Linked DNA regions of Ovis aries. The protein of the gene in region 1 interacts with the protein of each later gene in a pairwise test. Links are inferred from orthologs where the notes say so. Each region holds a gene or a part of one and is shown in the gene's direction. Other genes may lie near its edges. The genes, in order: RGS20, PTPMT1 and OTX1.

Region 1 (5,959 bases):
TATAACATTCTCATCGCCCCAAAGAGAAACCTCTTACTCTTTAGCCATCATTCTCCATCTCTCCCCAAACCCCCCTGCCCTAGGCAGCCGCCCCTCTACTTTATGTATCTAAGGAGTGGCCGATTCTGGATATCTTAGGAGGGGCATTATACAATACGTGATCTTTAGAGATTGGCTTCTCTCACTTCGTATATGTTCAGGGCTCATTCGTGTGTCAATACATATCAGTACTTCATTCCTTTTTACAGCTGAATAAATGTTCCATTGTGCGGATATACCTTTGTCTATCTTCCACTAGTTGATGGGCATGTGGGTTGATTTACAGTACTGGACACTTGCATGCAAGTGTTTGGTAAACATGTTTCACTTCTCTGGCTTCAGCGGATATCTACAAGGGAACTGCTACATTGAATGATAACCCTGTTTTCCAAAGGGAAGGTATCACTTTACATTCACCCCAGCAGTGTGTGAGGGTGCCAGTGCTTGACATCCTCACTAAAGCTTGTCATTGTCTGTCTTTTTGATTAAAGCCTACCTACTGGTATCTCCTTGGTGATTTTGACTTGGAAGTCAAAGATGCTGAGCATCTTTTCATATGCTTTTTGGCCATTTGCCTGTCTTCTTCTGAGAAACATCTGTTTACATAATTCACCCATTGCTAGTTTTTTTTTAAGAGCTCTTTATATATTCTGGATATAAGTCCCTTATTATGTATTTATGATTTGCCATATTTTACCCTATTTTGTGGGTGTCTTTTCACTCTTTTGATGATGTCCTTTGAAAAACAAAAGGTTTTCATTTTGATGAAATCCAGTTTGCCTGTTTTGTTTTGTTTTTTTTTGTCACTTGTGCTTTTTGGTATCATGTCTAAGAAGGCTTTGCCTCATCTGAGATCACAAATATTTTCTCCTAAGTTTCCTTTTAAAAGTTTTATAATCTTAACTCTTAAACTTGGGTCTATGATTGATTTCAAGTTAATTTTTTAACATGATGTGTGGTCCAACTTATGTTAGTTTTATATATCCATTTTAGGGGCCTGGGACTATGTTATGAAAGGAAGTTCTTTCAGTTCATAGTCCCCAGCAATGCATACCTGGGGTCCTTACCTCTGTACTCCTCCAGACCCAGCAGAAGCCACCTGGGCCTTAGATACCTTTGACCAAGGATCAAACCCAGGCCCCCTGCAGTGGAAGCGCAGAGACTTAACCACTGGACCACCAGGGAAAGTCCAATAATCTGATATTTATAAAGCACTTTACAAAAAGGAAGTATGATGTAGAAGCCAAGTTTTGACTTCATGGTTAGATGACTATCGCACAAGGAAATTACTTCAATTAATTCTGTGCTGTGCTGTGCTTAGTCACTCAGTCGTGTCCAACTCTTTGTGACCCCATGGACAGTGGCCCACTAGGTTCCTCTGTCCATGGGGATTCTCCAGAAAGAACAGTGGAGTGGTTTTCCATGACCACCTCCAGGGGATCTTCCCAACCTAGAAATCAAACCCAGGTCTCCTGCACTGCAGGTGGATTCTTTACCATCTGAGCCACCAAGGAAGTCCTCAATTAATTCTACAAGACATAAATAAAAAGTAATAATCTTTGAAGTGAAGTGTGGTTATGAGTTTAGCAAGCATTTCCAGCCACAAAGCTGACTGCTGCTAGAAGGACCTTTTACGAGACTGAGATAAAATGGCTCCTCTGCCTCTCGAGAGTATAGTCCAAATTTTTCACATATCACACACTACAAATGCAGAATATTACCACATGATTTATTTCCTTTATCACGATATACTAAGCAATATATCACTTGAATCATTTCTTTCAGTTTTGATTTAGCATTAAATTTGAAGTAGGAGTACATTGCTACCTGTAGAGCTGAGGAGCCTGATAGGCTACAGTCCATGGGGTCACAAAGAGTCTGACACAACTGAGCAACTTCACTTTCACTTCACTTGCAACCTGTAGAGGGCAGTCAGAACATACCGAGACTCTCATCCTGGAATAGAGCCCACGGACTGTGGATAAACTGCTGACCCACAACACAGATAATCCTCTTGCTTCGAGGGATGCGACTTTACAGGGAGGCCCCCAGCAGACGAAGCGATGGCCCAGCACCAGCCAAAGGAAGAGAAATAGAGTGGACCCTGGGCTGGTACCGTTAAAATCAAGCTACAGGATTCGATTGAGGCTTTATTGTAAAAACATGCCCAGGCTTTCCCAAGACAACCAACAGGGCCACCAGAAACATTTCTCCAGACCATCGAGGAGGATACGATTTCTGCCTCTGCCGTGGGCTGAGCCATATAATGTGAATGTTCACCAAACCGTGGAAAATGAAGGATGTGCCACAGCCACGCACAATGTCAAGGTAAGACCATCTCCCCAGTCCGTGACCGTTCTTGGCAAGGAAAGGGTTTATCCAGAAAGAATACAAAACCATAGGAAAGCTTTAGTGTCAGCGCTCACTTTACCTTATTGAAGATGTATCAAAAAGGCTTCCAAACTAAACCCAAGAGAAAAACTAGGACTTTGATAATAACCTGATTCTTCCAGTTTTCTCCAACATAAACAGCTTCCCTTTACAACAGCAAATGACTACATTTTGTTTGTTTCAGGAAGTAATGTCTTAAAAAGCAGAAAACCTAGCCATAGATTTCTATGGCTACTATCAATGCTTAGATATTCTGACATAAAAGTTATATCCCATATAGTAATGAAAAAAAATGGGCTTCCCTTGTGGCTCAGTCAGTAAAGGATCCACCTGCAATGCAGGAGATATAAGATATCCGGGTTCAGTCCCTGGGTTGGGGAGATCCCCTGGAGAAAGAACCCGCAACCCACTCCAGTATTCTTGCCTGGAAAATCCCATCGACAGAGGAGCCTGGCAGGCTATAGTCCGTGGGGTTGCAAGAGTTGAACACAACTGAGTGACTAAAACACCACCAATGAAAAAGTATAGATTGCTTTCCACCAAAATTGCTTGAGGGAAAAAAAAATTGGTAAAACTAATACAGGCATGAAAGACCATTTAGGAACTAAGGGTGTTTTTCCTAAAGTCATAGTTGCCTAGATGAATTTCTTAAGCATGAATTTCTATCAGTAGACAATGTGATTTCCCCGAAGAGTAACCATTTTCCTATTCAGCGTTGTGTGTATCTTTGCAGAAAGTACAGTTTAAGTCTGTCGATCCTCTTAACTATTAATAGAAACACCTCTTAAAAGGCTATTTAGTATGGAGGGGGATGGACATGTGTTAATGCCTGTGACCAATGATCAGAGCTCAGAAGTAAATGCTGATAAATTCTACAACCGCAGACCTGTCCAGATTCTGCAGCACTAGAAACTGTGCCTGTGCCTTCGCTCATATCCTCATAATAATCACGTATTTGCAGATTCTAATTATCTAGATCTGTCCTTTCCCCATAGTTTTTTTGTTTTATCTTTTGACTGCACCATGCAGCATATGGGGTCTAAGTTCCCAGACCAGGAATGGAACCTTGGTAGCATGGAGTTTTAACCATTGGACAACCAAGGAAGTTCCTCCCCAATCTTATTTTAACCAACTGGCACAAGGAGAAGTTGTTTGTTTGTTTGTTAAGTCATTGGGAAGCTTTTTCAATAGGAAGGTACTTGATTTCAGTGGTTCAATAGGAAGCTACACTTGATTTCAGTGGTTACACAAACCTTCTCATGTGTTAAAATTGCATAGAACTATACTCACCTGTCGGGCTTCCCAGGTGACTTAGTGGTAAAGAATTCACCTGCCAGCGCAGAAGATGTGGGTTCCATTCCTGGGTCAGGAAGATCCCCTGGAGAAGAAAATGGCAACCCCTCCACCACACACACACATACACACACGGGTGCATACAAACTTATGAAATCTGAATGAGCTCTTAGAATTATACCAGTGTGTCTCCTGGCTTTGATGTTGTACAATTTATGCAGTTTCCATTGGGTGGAACTGTGTGAAGAGTGTGTGGGACCACTGTGTGTACATTCTTTTGTGAAACTTCCAGTGAATCTATAATAATTTCAGAATTAAATGTGTAAAAAAAATCCTTCCAAAAGCAGGTTAGACTGAAAATAACAATTCATTTGTGTTGCATAAATGCGTTGTCTATTGTGGTTCTTCTTGCTATTCTTTTTTATTTGGATTCTTAACCAATTTCGTTAGGTCAGAAGTGCTGAGGTGGTCAAACCTTTTTTAGAGATGAGAAAGCATGTTTGTAAAAAACACTGTTACATGTGTGCAGTCAGCTCAGTGGTGATTCAAACCCATGTTTTTTCTGACACTGACTTCGTTACTAAGTCAATAGATTCTGGCTGTGCTTTAGAAGCAGGCTATAATTTCCCAGGCTGGAATCCAGCCTCCTCAGTAGTGATTTATCTGTGCATTCTGCCCAAAGAACCCAACAAAACTGCTAATTTACTACAAAATAAATTAACATCTCTCCACCTACACAGGCACACAGACAGACACACACTTATGAACTTGACTTCATTGGGATTATTTTTTCTCCACCAGGATTTCTGCTTCCTTCCATTCAGAGCACAGAGACCGAGTGGGAGAGGGGGTGCTCCCTGGACCAGGTGCTCTTTTTAGTGATAAAAGTGAGAGAGAGGAAACTTTACAGCCACCCTGGTGAGCAGTTATCTACCCATCCATCTGTCAGTACAGATAGATGCATACACATGTATGCATTCTTTCCCAGTAATAAAAGTGATCAGAGCTTAGACCAGAAAATTTTCCACATAAAATTATTTTTCACGTCCTTTTAATTGCTGTCCCTCTGAGAGTGCAGACTTTTAGGTGCTCTCCTGGTCCAGGTGTATGACCCCTTGAGAAGCCCATCAAAGCCCTTGCTGTGAGACATTACACACTGAAAGGAGAGAGAGAAACTCCAAGGCCCCCAAAGGTACCTACCAAGACAATGGAGTTTTTATGGCAAAAGCAGGGAGCAGAAAGAAGAAAGGAAAAATCTCTCAGCAAGAAAGAAATTAGGCTTCCAATATCCAGCACCATATACATATATATCGATGTATTCAGAAGACAAAGTTATCCTGTCCTGCCTCCAGTTGTGAAAGAGCGAGTTTCCCAAGGACAGAGTTGGTTCTTCCCTTTGTGAAGGCCCTGTGAAAAGAATTCTGTCATAATTAACAACTGAGAGGCTCATAAACTTGCCTAAGGAAAGGCTCATCTGGAAGTCTGTTGTGGTTACATCCTCCATCCTTGGTGAGCAATCCTCAGGGCCGCCTGCAGGTGATTCCAGGTGAGCAGAAGGAGGAGGGTTCCCCAGGCTCCGGACCCAGGAACTCTGAGTTCTCAGTGATCATAGCTACATTGTGTTCCTTTTATGGGGACCATAACAAAGCGTGTGGTGTCGTCCTTGGAAAGGTGTAAAGAGTTCTCCTGCTGCTCAGTTTTGGCTCACAGAAGCCAGGTCAGTGGTGTGGCATTAAGACCAAAACTATGGGAATCTTCCCTGGTGGCTCAGTGGTAAAGAATCCCCCTGCAATGCAGGAGATGCAGGTTCAATCCCTGGGTTGGGAAGATCCCCGAAAAAAGGGAATGGCTACCCACTCCAGTATTCATGCCTGGAGAATGCCACAGACAGAGGAGCCCGGTGGCCTACAGTGCTGCTGCTGCTGCTGCTGCTGCTGCTGCTGCTGCTGCTGCTGCTGCTGCTAAGTCGCTTCAGTCGTGTCCGACTCTGTGCGACCCCATAGAAGGCAGCCCACCAGGCTCCATCGCCCCTGGGATTCTCCAGGCAAGAACACTGGAGTGGGTTGCCATTTCCTTCTCCAATGCATGAAAGTAAAAAGTGAAAGTGAAGTCGCTCAGTCGTGTCCAACTCTTTGCGACCCCATGGACTGCAGCCTACCAGGCTCCTCCGTCCAAGGGGTTTTCCAGGCAAGAATACTGGAGTGGGTTGCCATTGCCTTCTCCGGGCCTACAGTGC
Region 2 (5,783 bases), on another chromosome or scaffold:
AATATCCTGCATGTCTAAGAATAGAATGATCACATTATGGTACAGTAACTAGGTTCGTTATAAATGATAAAAATAATGTGGTAATATTGAAAGTGCTCATGGGGACTTCCTTGGCGGCCCAGGGCTTGACTCCAGGCTTCCGCTGCAGTGAGGTGTGGGCTCCATCTCTGGTCAAGGAAATCAGGTCCCACACACCCCATGGCAGCAGTGAGGCATGGGCTCCATCTCTGGTCAAGGAAATCAGGTCCCACACACCCCATGGCAGCAGCCAAATCAAAGGAACGAGACAACAAACATGGTGGCAAAAATTTTACCAAAACGACACCAGTGATTTTTTAAATGGTGTACATAAATCACACGGCACTATTATACGACTCCAAAATCCCATGCCTGGATAGGCATCCAAAAAATTGAGAACTTAAGACCGCAGAAAAACTTGTATACAGAAACAGAAAGTAAACTCATGAGTGCCAAGACCTGGCGGGTTGAGGGAAAACAGGGCGTGATTATGCTAATTGGTGTAGAGTTTCTTTGGGGGATGATGAAAGTATTCTACAATTGATGGTGGTGATGGTTGTACAACTCTGCAAATATACTACAAGCCATTGAACTGTACACTTTAAATGAATAAGTTGTATGGTATGTGAATTATATCTCAATAAAACTATTATAAAAAATTTAATGATAACACATGAAAAGAAAAAAATGTGCTTGAGGTGGTAGGATTATGGGTGATTAAATTCTGCTTTCCTGTATGTTCCGGTCGTTATTCATATGTGTCATTTGTACAAGGAGAAAAGCTGTTTTAAAAAGCACAAGATGTGGAGAAGGAAATGGCAACCCACTCCAGTATTCTTGCCTGGAGAATGCCATGGACGGAGGAGGGCTACAGTCCACGGGTCACAAAGAGTGGGACATGATTGAGCAAGAGAAAAAAAAGCACAAGATGTACTTTTTCAGAGTGCTATTTAACTGTAAATAATCAGTGTGACAACTATTCCTCTTGCTTATTTGCAGGTTGTAGGTTTTATGTTTATCATAATATATATATATTTTAAACCTTTATTTAATTTTTGGTCTAGCCTCTGCAAGGCTGTGGGATCTTATTTCCCTGACAGGGATGGAACTGGTGCTGCTTGCACTGAGGGCACAGTCTTAACCACTAGATCGCCAGAAAACTACCTATGATGATATTTTTAATATTAATATATCTTCATAAATAGAACAGATATCACTTATATCTATTTTTCATTTGAAAAGACCCTGATGCTGGGAATGATTGAAGGTAGGAGGAGAAGGGGATGACAGAGGATGAGATGGTTGGATGGCATCACCGGCCCAATGGACATGAGTTTGAGTAAACTCTGGGGAGTTGGGGGTGGACAGGGAGGCCTGGCGGGCTGGAGTCCATGGGGTCGCAAAGAGTCGAACACAACTGAGCGACTGAACTCAACTGATATCTATTTTTCACTATGTACACACACACACATACTTACTGCAGTTTAGTTAGGAGGCGGGAGCCAGGACTCCAGGCAGATGTGGGGATGGGGTGGGAAGGGCCGGACGAACCCAGGTCCCCTGTTTGTCCAGGATCAGGCCCCTCTCCTTACTATCCCTTCGGCTCTGAGCTCTGGACTCCCTGGCCGAGAGCCTCTTCCCGGTCCTGTCCCGCCCTTCGGTGGGGTCAGCGTCCCCTCGCTCTGGCCGGTGGTTGGCGAAGGTGCCCCGGGCTCACCGGCCGGGGTCACAGTTGCACCCGCCCGCTGGAGTCACAGCCCCTCCCTCGGGAGGCGGGGGCTCACTAGCCACGGGCCGGGGTCGCAGTTTCCCACACGCGGCAGACTCGCCGCCTCGGGTCCGCGGGACGGGCCCTCCCCCGGCCCGGGGCCCCGTTTCCCGCCCGGGAAGCCCGGGCCCCTCCCCACGGCGGCCGGCGGCCCCTCCTCCCGAGCCATGGTGTGGGTCCCCGGGGCCCCCGGCGAGTCCCCGGGGGCCGGGCCCGAGGTCGCGACGCTCGAGAGGCCCGCGCCGGCCGGGTGGTCCTCGCTGGGGGCCGCGGCCGCCCCGCCGCCCCCCTGGCCCGGCCCGCGGACGCCCGCCTCCTGCCCGGCGGTGGGCGGGTCGCCGCTGCGCCGCGCCGGCTGGGCCGGGATGGCGGCCGGCTCGTTGCTGGAGGCCGGCCTGGCCCGGGTGCTCTACTACCCGACGCTGCTCTACACGCTGTTCCGCGGGAAGATGCCCGGCCGGGCGCACCGCGACTGGTACCACCGCATCGATTCCACCGTGCTGCTGGGCGCGCTGCCGCTGCGGAGCATGACGCGCCGGGTGAGCCGGGCGGGGCCGGGCCGGGCCGCGGCGGGGCCTGCGAGCCCGGCGAGCGCCGCCCGGGCCTCGGCCGCCCGCCCCTTTCTGAGCCCTCTCTTTGCCTCGGCAGCTGGTCCAGGACGAGAACGTGCGCGGGGTGATCACCATGAACGAGGAGTATGAGACGAGGTTTCTGTGCAACTCCTCCAAGGTGAGGCTCCGGGCCCGGCGCCCCGCCCGCCACCCCTCTACCACTCCGGGGTCTGGGCGAGCCCGGAGGGGGTTCGGGGGAGGCTGTGCTGTAGGTGACCTTGCCGCAGACACGAGCGTCCCAGGCTTGTTTTTTTTTTCTGTTTTTTTTTTGCCTCTGAGGAGCTGGTCCTGCGGCTAGAGGAGGGTAGAAACTAATTTGCGAATTAGAAATTGATGTGAAAGGTATTTCACAGTAGAGTTGCCCAACTTCGATTACTCCTTTCTGCGCACGTGTGTTCTCGGTTTTGGTTACTCACATCAGTAACTAGAACTTTAAAGGCAACGTTTCTCTTTGGGCTACGCCTCGCAGCCTGTGGAATATTAGTTCCCCAATCAGGGATCAAACCTGCGACCCCAGCAGTTGAAAGAGCAGAGTCCTGACCATCGGACCACGAGGGAAGTCCAGAAAGGCAACTTTTCTCTGCCTTGCTTTCATTCATTCAACACTTAATGAGCACTAAGTATGGATCGGACACTGTTCGATATTCAAGACGAAGGCCCTATAAACTGTAAAAAAGAAAGCTACCCCCAATCCCTGATAACTGTATCATAAAACTCTTTGTAAAAACTGCATAGAATTCATTTGGTTTTTATTTGAGGGAATTTCATTTATATGTTAGAGATGATAGTGGAACTCCAAAGCATGGTGATAAATGCAGTTCAAGCCTAAAACCTAGTTTTCGTTAGATGTGAGTGGTTTTTTGGTGGAACTCTCCATGATGGTTATTAGGTGTTGCCCTGTCTTTCTAGTGTTTGACTTCTATTAGCACTGCACAATTATCTTCCCTGTTCACTGTACTGATAGAGCCTAATGAACATGCAGTTATTTCAAACCATAGATCTTTTTTGAAATCTAAAAAAATAATTGTGACTCACATTTAAAATCTATTGATCAGTGATGGCATACATTTTTAAAGAATAGATAGCAGTTCCTTGGATTTCCCACAGAACCTCAGGAGTTATTAGCCAAAAAGCATTGTTAGCCTCAGTGTGGTCGGTCCTGTGGAGCAAGCCACAGAAAGTGCTTGGTCTCTGGGTGTGAGGCATCGAGATCTGCTATCTTCTCTCACTAGCCTAGAGAAAAGAAATCTCCAAGGCAATGGTTCTGATATTTTAATACGGCTAAACATTATCTAGTAGTAGTGGTGTTAGTCACTCAGTCATGCCCAACTCTTTGCAGTCCTATGGACTGTAGCCCACCGGGCTCCTCTGTCCATGGAATGCTCCAGGCAAGAAGACTGGAGTGGTTTGCCGTTCCCTTCTCCAGGGGATTTTCCTGACTGGGGGATTGAACCCCTGTCTCCTGCATGGCCACCTGATGCAAAGAACTGACTCATTGGAAAAGACCTGATGCTGGGAAAGGTTGAAGGCAGGAGGAGAAGGGGCCGCAGAGGGTGAGATGGCTGGTCGGCATCACTGACTCGATGGACATAAGTTTGGGAGTTGATGATGGACAGGGAATCCTGGCGTGCTGCAGACCATGGGGTCGCAGAGTCGGACACAACTGAGTGACTGAACTGAACTGACTGACTCCTGTATTGCAGCAGATTCATTACTGTCTGAGCCCCAGGGAAGCCCCAGGGAAGCATTATCCAGCTGTCTGTTAAGACAGCACATTCCTAGGTTCAACTCTCAGGAACTTTAAATCACTGCCTAAGAATGTGACTAAGTAGCAGGCTCCCCAAGTGTTTGATGTAATTGATGTGTAAAAACACACTGCCAGATTTTGCTGTTTTTGGTTAATTTCGTGAGCTGTGTAATGTATTGACCTTCATTCAGAGTCATGTGTCTGATTTGCTGAAGAGATTAATAACAAAAAGTCTACCTGAAGTCTTATGGCAAAAAATTAAAAAGTTGCCCAGTTTGCCAGAGGCCTTATTTCTTCTGTTGATTCTTTTCTTCCTTCTAAGCAGTAATATTGCACTAACAAAAGTAGGTGCGTTATTTAAATTTTAAAATAACTCTTATTTTCTACCACATACCCCTCTCCAAAAAAGTGGTAAAAAAGAGAAGACTTATGGGCAGAGAAATAGAAGGCCTTGCAACCTTCTAACCTAACCCTGCAGCTGGATCACTGCACAAGCGCCAAAGTCACGCAAAAAAAACTTGACGCAGCTCTTGTAGATGAATTTTATACAGTTTGTGTTTTGTTGCTAAAGATTCAAATACTAAGAATGCTTTAAAGCTTGGGCATAATTCTAACTCAGAAGCATTGCTGTGTGATGAAAGACCATGTAAGTCAGTCATTTTAAAGACATTTCTGAAAGAAGTTTCTTTTTAGGCAAGCATATACCGCATATATTACCATTCACCACGAACCTTCCTTGCTGCTTTGCTGTCTCACAGGAGTCCCTCTTCCTGCCACTCACATCAGGCGTTTTTCATTTTCTTTTCTGTGCTGGCGGACCTGGCCCCAGGAGTGGGAGAAGGCAGGAGTGGAGCAGTTGCGGCTCAGCACGGTCGACATGACTGGGGTCCCAACCCTGGCTAACCTCCAGAAAGGAGTCCAGTTTGCCATCAAGTACCACTCACTGGGCCAGTCTGTCTACGTGCACTGCAAGGCTGGGCGTTCCAGGAGTGCCACTATGGTGGCTGCGTATCTCATTCAGGTAGGAGAGGGCCTTCTGGACTGGTGCCCCCCGCCCCACCTTGTTTCTAAAAGCAATCTGATTTTTATTTTACTTTATTATTTTTAAAATTTTTATCTTTTGGTTGCACTGGGTCCTCGCTGCTGACTGCAGGCTTTCTCTAGTTGCTGTGAGTGGGGGCTCCTCTTCATCGAGGTGCACACGTTTCTCACTGTGGTGGCCTCTTTTTTATTGCCGAGTATAGGCACTGTACTCTGTACATTGTACTTGGGTTTCACAGCTGGCGCTAGTGGTAAAGAACCCACCTGCCAATGCAGGAGACATTAAGAGACCTGGGTTCGATCCCTGGGTCGGGAAGATCCCGTGGAGAAGGGCATGTCAACCCACTCCAGTATTTTTGCCTGGAGAATCCCATGGTCAGAGGAGCCTGGCGGGCTACAGTCCACGGGGTTGCAAAGAGTCGGACACGACTGAAGCGACTTAGCACGCACCCACAGGCACTAGGGCCCAGGGGCTTTAGTAGTTGGAGCTCCTGGGCTCTAGAGCACAGGCTCAATAGCTGTGGCTCTTGGGCTTAGTTGCTCTGCATCATGTGGAATCTTCCCGAACTAGGGATCAAACCCATGTCCCCAGCATTGT
Region 3 (4,348 bases), on another chromosome or scaffold:
GTCACCTTTCGACCCCGGCCGGGACCCCATTGTCCGCAGCCAGGACTGGCTTGCTCTGGGGAAGCACGGCCTGCGGCTGTGGCGAGGTGCGGGTGATCCCGGGCGGCGTGTTTGAACCGCCACCTGTACGGTGGCGCCTTCTGGTCGCCTCGGCCGGACCTGGGCTCGAATCGGTGGTAGAAGTGTGGGTGGGATTCCGGGTAAGCAATCTCTCAGCGGCCAGGCACAGAGAGGTAAACTGGTAGAGCGGCTGTGGGACCCAGCCGCGGAGACTCTGGAAGGATGTACTCAGTGAGCAATGCGTCCCGGAGAGGCCCAGGTGCCGCGAGCCCTCCGCTGTGCCTCACCTTGGCTCTCTGGAGTCTACCTGTCCGTTCCACTTTCAAAAACATTTGAAACAAAACGAAACAACCCCTCATGCTCTGGGTCTCCTGCTGCCTTGAGGTCGAGGGGATGTTTGCTTGTGTGGTGTGATGCCCTCTCCCACCCGAACAGATTTTTGCCTAGTCTTGGGACCTAGCGCACTCTGCGTTTTGGGCTCTGACCTCCCAAGGTTGCCCCCGATTTTAACCTCTCCTCACTCCTAGCGTCGCCCTACGAGTGTCTGTCCCATTCCAAGCCCGAAAAGAAGTGATAATGATCCAGAAATTTTACTTTTCAAAGAATCTGTGGTCTTCGGGCTAAGGCCTTATAGAGCCGAGTTCTGCACAGATCCATAGCCTGCGTCACCTCCCCATCCTGTGACTCCTTCCTCCGGCAAGACCAGGAAGCAGTGGTGGCTTGGAATGACAGTTTCGGTGTGTCATTTGTCTCCATAGGCCGGGCCCCCAGACGCAACAGAGCTTGAAGGACTGCGCAGTGGGAGCCCCGCACTGCGCCTGGCCCCCGGCCCCCTGGATCCGTCGGGGCGCCTCCACCCAGCTGTTAGCATGATGTCTTACCTCAAACAACCCCCATATGGTATGAATGGGCTCGGTCTAGCCGGGCCAGCCATGGACCTCCTACACCCCTCCGTGGGCTATCCGGGTGAGCATCGACCCCTACACCCTCCTCCCTTAGAACTCTGGGGAATCACCAGCTCTGGGTTTGAGCACAAATTTTGTCCCAGATTAGGCCCAGGGAACCGGTTGCCTAGTCTCTTACATTGCAGGGAGCGCTGACTCGGAGGACAGATCGTGGTCGGGAAGTAGGGCCGGGGTGGCTAAGACATGAGAAGTAAGCCCTCCAGCCCGGCAACACCGGCAACTTCTCTCCAGTTGTCATCCCACCGCCAGCACAGAGCGCATTTACCCACGGATTCGTTTCCCATGGGTGGGGTGTGTGTGAGAGAGAGAGATTGAAAGAATCTATGCCTTTCCCCCTCAACACTGAACGAGGAATATGGACACTCGCTTGGCCCTGACAGGAAAGGCCGAGCTTGCCTTATGCAAAGCGGCTGGCAGAGGTAAGGCAGCGGGAGTCTCCCTCCATAATTAAATTGTCCTTTAGATGGGTGGCCTGCACCAACTTCTGCACTGTTGACGTGGACGACTTGAGCCAAATCCTGGCTCTCTTGTCTAGGTTCCGTTTCTTCACCTCCGCTTATTACCTCGGAAAGTGTTTTTCAGGACGTTCCAGCACACCCCTTCCCCACCCTCCAGTCAGGGAGAGTGTTGGCAGGGCGGGGGACGGGGGGGGGGGGCAGGGGGCGGGCAGCGAAGGAAGAAAGATTGTATAACTTCTCTTCCTTTCTTAACCTCTGAGAGGCAGGGAAGGGGTCAGCCCTGGCGTGTCGGAGACAATCAGGAGTGTCGGTGTGCCGATCAGGCACACCTGCAGTTTCTCCCACCTGTGGCCTGTCAGGCTCGCCTCCCTGGGGAGTTCTTTTCTCGTTCGGAGCTCGGCTTTCTTTTGCAACGACCTGGTCCAGGGCCTGCCAAGGTCCTGTCCAAATCCTCTAGCGCGAGTCCGCGTGGCCACCACTGACCCGACGCTCCCCCGCGTTTCCCTTCAGCCACCCCGCGGAAGCAGCGACGCGAGCGCACCACCTTCACGCGCTCTCAACTGGACGTGCTTGAGGCGCTCTTCGCCAAGACTCGCTACCCAGACATCTTCATGCGTGAGGAGGTGGCGCTCAAGATCAACCTGCCAGAGTCCAGAGTCCAGGTGCGCGCGCGGGGGATTTCCAGGGTCCGGGGAGGGGTGCTGGGGCTGGTTAGAGAGGGCCTGGTTGGGAAGTGGTCTGGTGTGGGGGCGGGCTTACAGGCTGGGCAGCCCCTCTCAGACTCCCCCTAGCGCTGGGCCCGGGCCTGGCAGAGGGGCCAAAATTAAAGGAACTATCTTAGAGCCCTGAATTGGGCCGTTGGCCCCGGGGCGCCTCTCCGAAGTCTCTTTTAGGATTGCAGGAGGCCAAGCCCGACACTTGTCCCCTGCCTCTTCGGCCACCCCAGGGCTTGGCAGTTTCCTACCGGGTCTTGAATTCTGCCTCTGCCCTGGCCTTGCATCCCGGGAATCCTGGAAATGAAAGAGTGGGGCTTGGCCAAAGCCTGGTCCTCTGTCTGGAAGTGTGCCCCACGGGTGGCGGCAGTGTGATTAGACCTTTTTCTTTGCTCTGAGAGGATGCTGAACGCAAAATCTGGCTACTAGCTTTGCTGTTTCTGGGTGTGTGTGTGTGTGACAGATGAAAGGGACCCGAAAATATTGATCAGGTCATAACTCAGAACTCTTCTCAAAGGCCTTTTATCTTGCCTTTTTCCTCCCAGAGGCTCGAGAGAACAGGAATGCCATGTCTTGTACCCGGGCCTTCCGAGAGGAGTGAGAACTTTATGACTGTCTTATTTGGTTCCCCACTTGGAGCCAAGAAGTTCAACGAAATTATGTTCAGGCTTCCTTCCGTAATCCCCCTCTAATTCAGCTTCCTGCTCCCACCCAAATTCTCTGCCGGCCCAGCACCAGGCCTCCTTGGGGCAGAGTGGCTCCGGCTTAGATTTGGTGGCTGCCCCCCATTCCGCGGCCTGCTCTGTGCCTCGCTGCAGTTTCCCGGGCTCTATTCACATAAGACAGGGCCTCCATGCATTCACAGGTCTGTTGGGAAGCGGCCAACAGCAGCAGTTTAGAGATGGCTGAACTTTTGGCTGGACAGACACAAATGTTCCGCCCTCCAACAGAGTTGAGCTGGGAGTGGGGGTGGGGAGGTGCACATCCCTACTTTGCCAGAGGAGGGTCTTTGAGCAGAAGGATGGGGGAGGGTGGAGCAGCGAATGCAGGGTCTGGCCGGGCCGGAGATGGGGAAGGGTGGAGGCGTCGATCGGAGAGGGATGGGGTTGCTAGGCCGGAGTTGGTCCAAGAGGCAGGGGAATGGCAAACTCTACTCGCCCCCTCACACGCTCTTCCCCACTCGGCCTGCCGCAGGTCTGGTTCAAGAACCGCCGCGCCAAATGCCGTCAGCAGCAGCAGAGCGGGAGTGGGACCAAGAGCCGCCCAGCAAAGAAAAAGTCGTCCCCGGTGCGGGAGAGCTCGGGCTCCGAAAGCAGCGGCCAGTTCACGCCGCCTGCTGTCTCCAGTTCCGCCTCGTCCTCCAGCTCCGCATCCAGCGCCTCAGCTAACCCCGCGGCGGCAGCGGCTGCAGGCCTGGGCGGGAACCCGGCGGTGGCGGTCCCGTCATCGTTGAGTACGCCTGCTGCTTCCTCCATCTGGAGTCCGGCCTCCATCTCGCCCGGCTCAGCGCCGGCTTCAGTGTCGATGCCCGAGCCTTTGGCTGCACCCAGCAACGCATCGTGTATGCAGCGCTCGGTAGCCGCAGGAGCTGCCTCGGCCGCAGCCTCCTATCCCATGTCCTACGGCCAGGGCGGCAGCTATGGCCAGGGCTACCCCGCGCCCTCCTCCTCCTACTTTGGCGGCGTGGACTGCAGCTCGTATTTAGCGCCCATGCACTCGCACCACCACCCGCACCAGCTCAGCCCTATGGCACCCTCCTCCATGGCGAGCCACCATCACCACCATCCCCACGCACACCACCCGCTGAGCCAGTCCTCAGGCCACCACCACCATCACCACCACCACCACCACCAGGGCTACGGCGGCTCGGGGCTCGCCTTCAACTCTGCCGACTGCTTGGATTACAAGGAGCCTGGCGCTGCCGCCGCATCCTCTGCTTGGAAACTCAACTTCAACTCACCTGACTGTCTGGACTATAAGGACCAAGCCTCATGGAGGTTTCAGGTCTTGTGAGCCCAGGAGTGGGAGGAAGAGGAGAAGAAACGCAACTACCTGCGCCCTCCGTGATCCCCATCCTGTTGTTGCTGCTGCTGCACCGCCCGCCTTTGCCTCGGCTTCTCCAGACCCGAAATTTCATGCCCCCAAAAGATGC

What was found.
Region 2: the proteins of RGS20 (region 1) and PTPMT1 interact in binary tests that used the Homo sapiens proteins (3 or more experiments, as listed by UniProt). The two-hybrid records come from large-scale screens. The link is inferred for Ovis aries from reciprocal best matches to the Homo sapiens genes RGS20 and PTPMT1.
Region 3: the proteins of RGS20 (region 1) and OTX1 interact in binary tests that used the Homo sapiens proteins (3 or more experiments, as listed by UniProt). The two-hybrid records come from large-scale screens. The link is inferred for Ovis aries from reciprocal best matches to the Homo sapiens genes RGS20 and OTX1.

What each region holds. Positions count from the first base shown.
Region 1 is NC_056062.1:34,890,224-34,896,182, forward strand, and holds the start of RGS20 (regulator of G-protein signaling 20), read left to right. Parts: upstream 1-2,128; 5' UTR 2,129-2,202; coding exon 2,203-2,375; intron 2,376-5,959. UniProt on the Homo sapiens protein: Inhibits signal transduction by increasing the GTPase activity of G protein alpha subunits thereby driving them into their inactive GDP-bound form.
Region 2 is NC_056068.1:76,296,514-76,302,296, forward strand, and holds the start of PTPMT1 (phosphatidylglycerophosphatase and protein-tyrosine phosphatase 1), read left to right. Parts: upstream 1-1,932; 5' UTR 1,933-1,953; coding exon 1,954-2,325; intron 2,326-2,434; coding exon 2,435-2,515; intron 2,516-4,973; coding exon 4,974-5,165; intron 5,166-5,783. UniProt on the Homo sapiens protein: Lipid phosphatase which dephosphorylates phosphatidylglycerophosphate (PGP) to phosphatidylglycerol (PG).
Region 3 is NC_056056.1:45,197,922-45,202,269, reverse strand, and holds part of OTX1 (homeobox protein OTX1), read left to right. Parts: intron 1-818; 5' UTR 819-929; coding exon 930-1,026; intron 1,027-1,993; coding exon 1,994-2,145; intron 2,146-2,741; exon of another isoform or gene 2,742-3,336; coding exon of another isoform or gene 3,337-3,390; coding exon 3,391-4,209; 3' UTR 4,210-4,348. UniProt on the Homo sapiens protein: Probably plays a role in the development of the brain and the sense organs. Can bind to the BCD target sequence (BTS): 5'-TCTAATCCC-3'.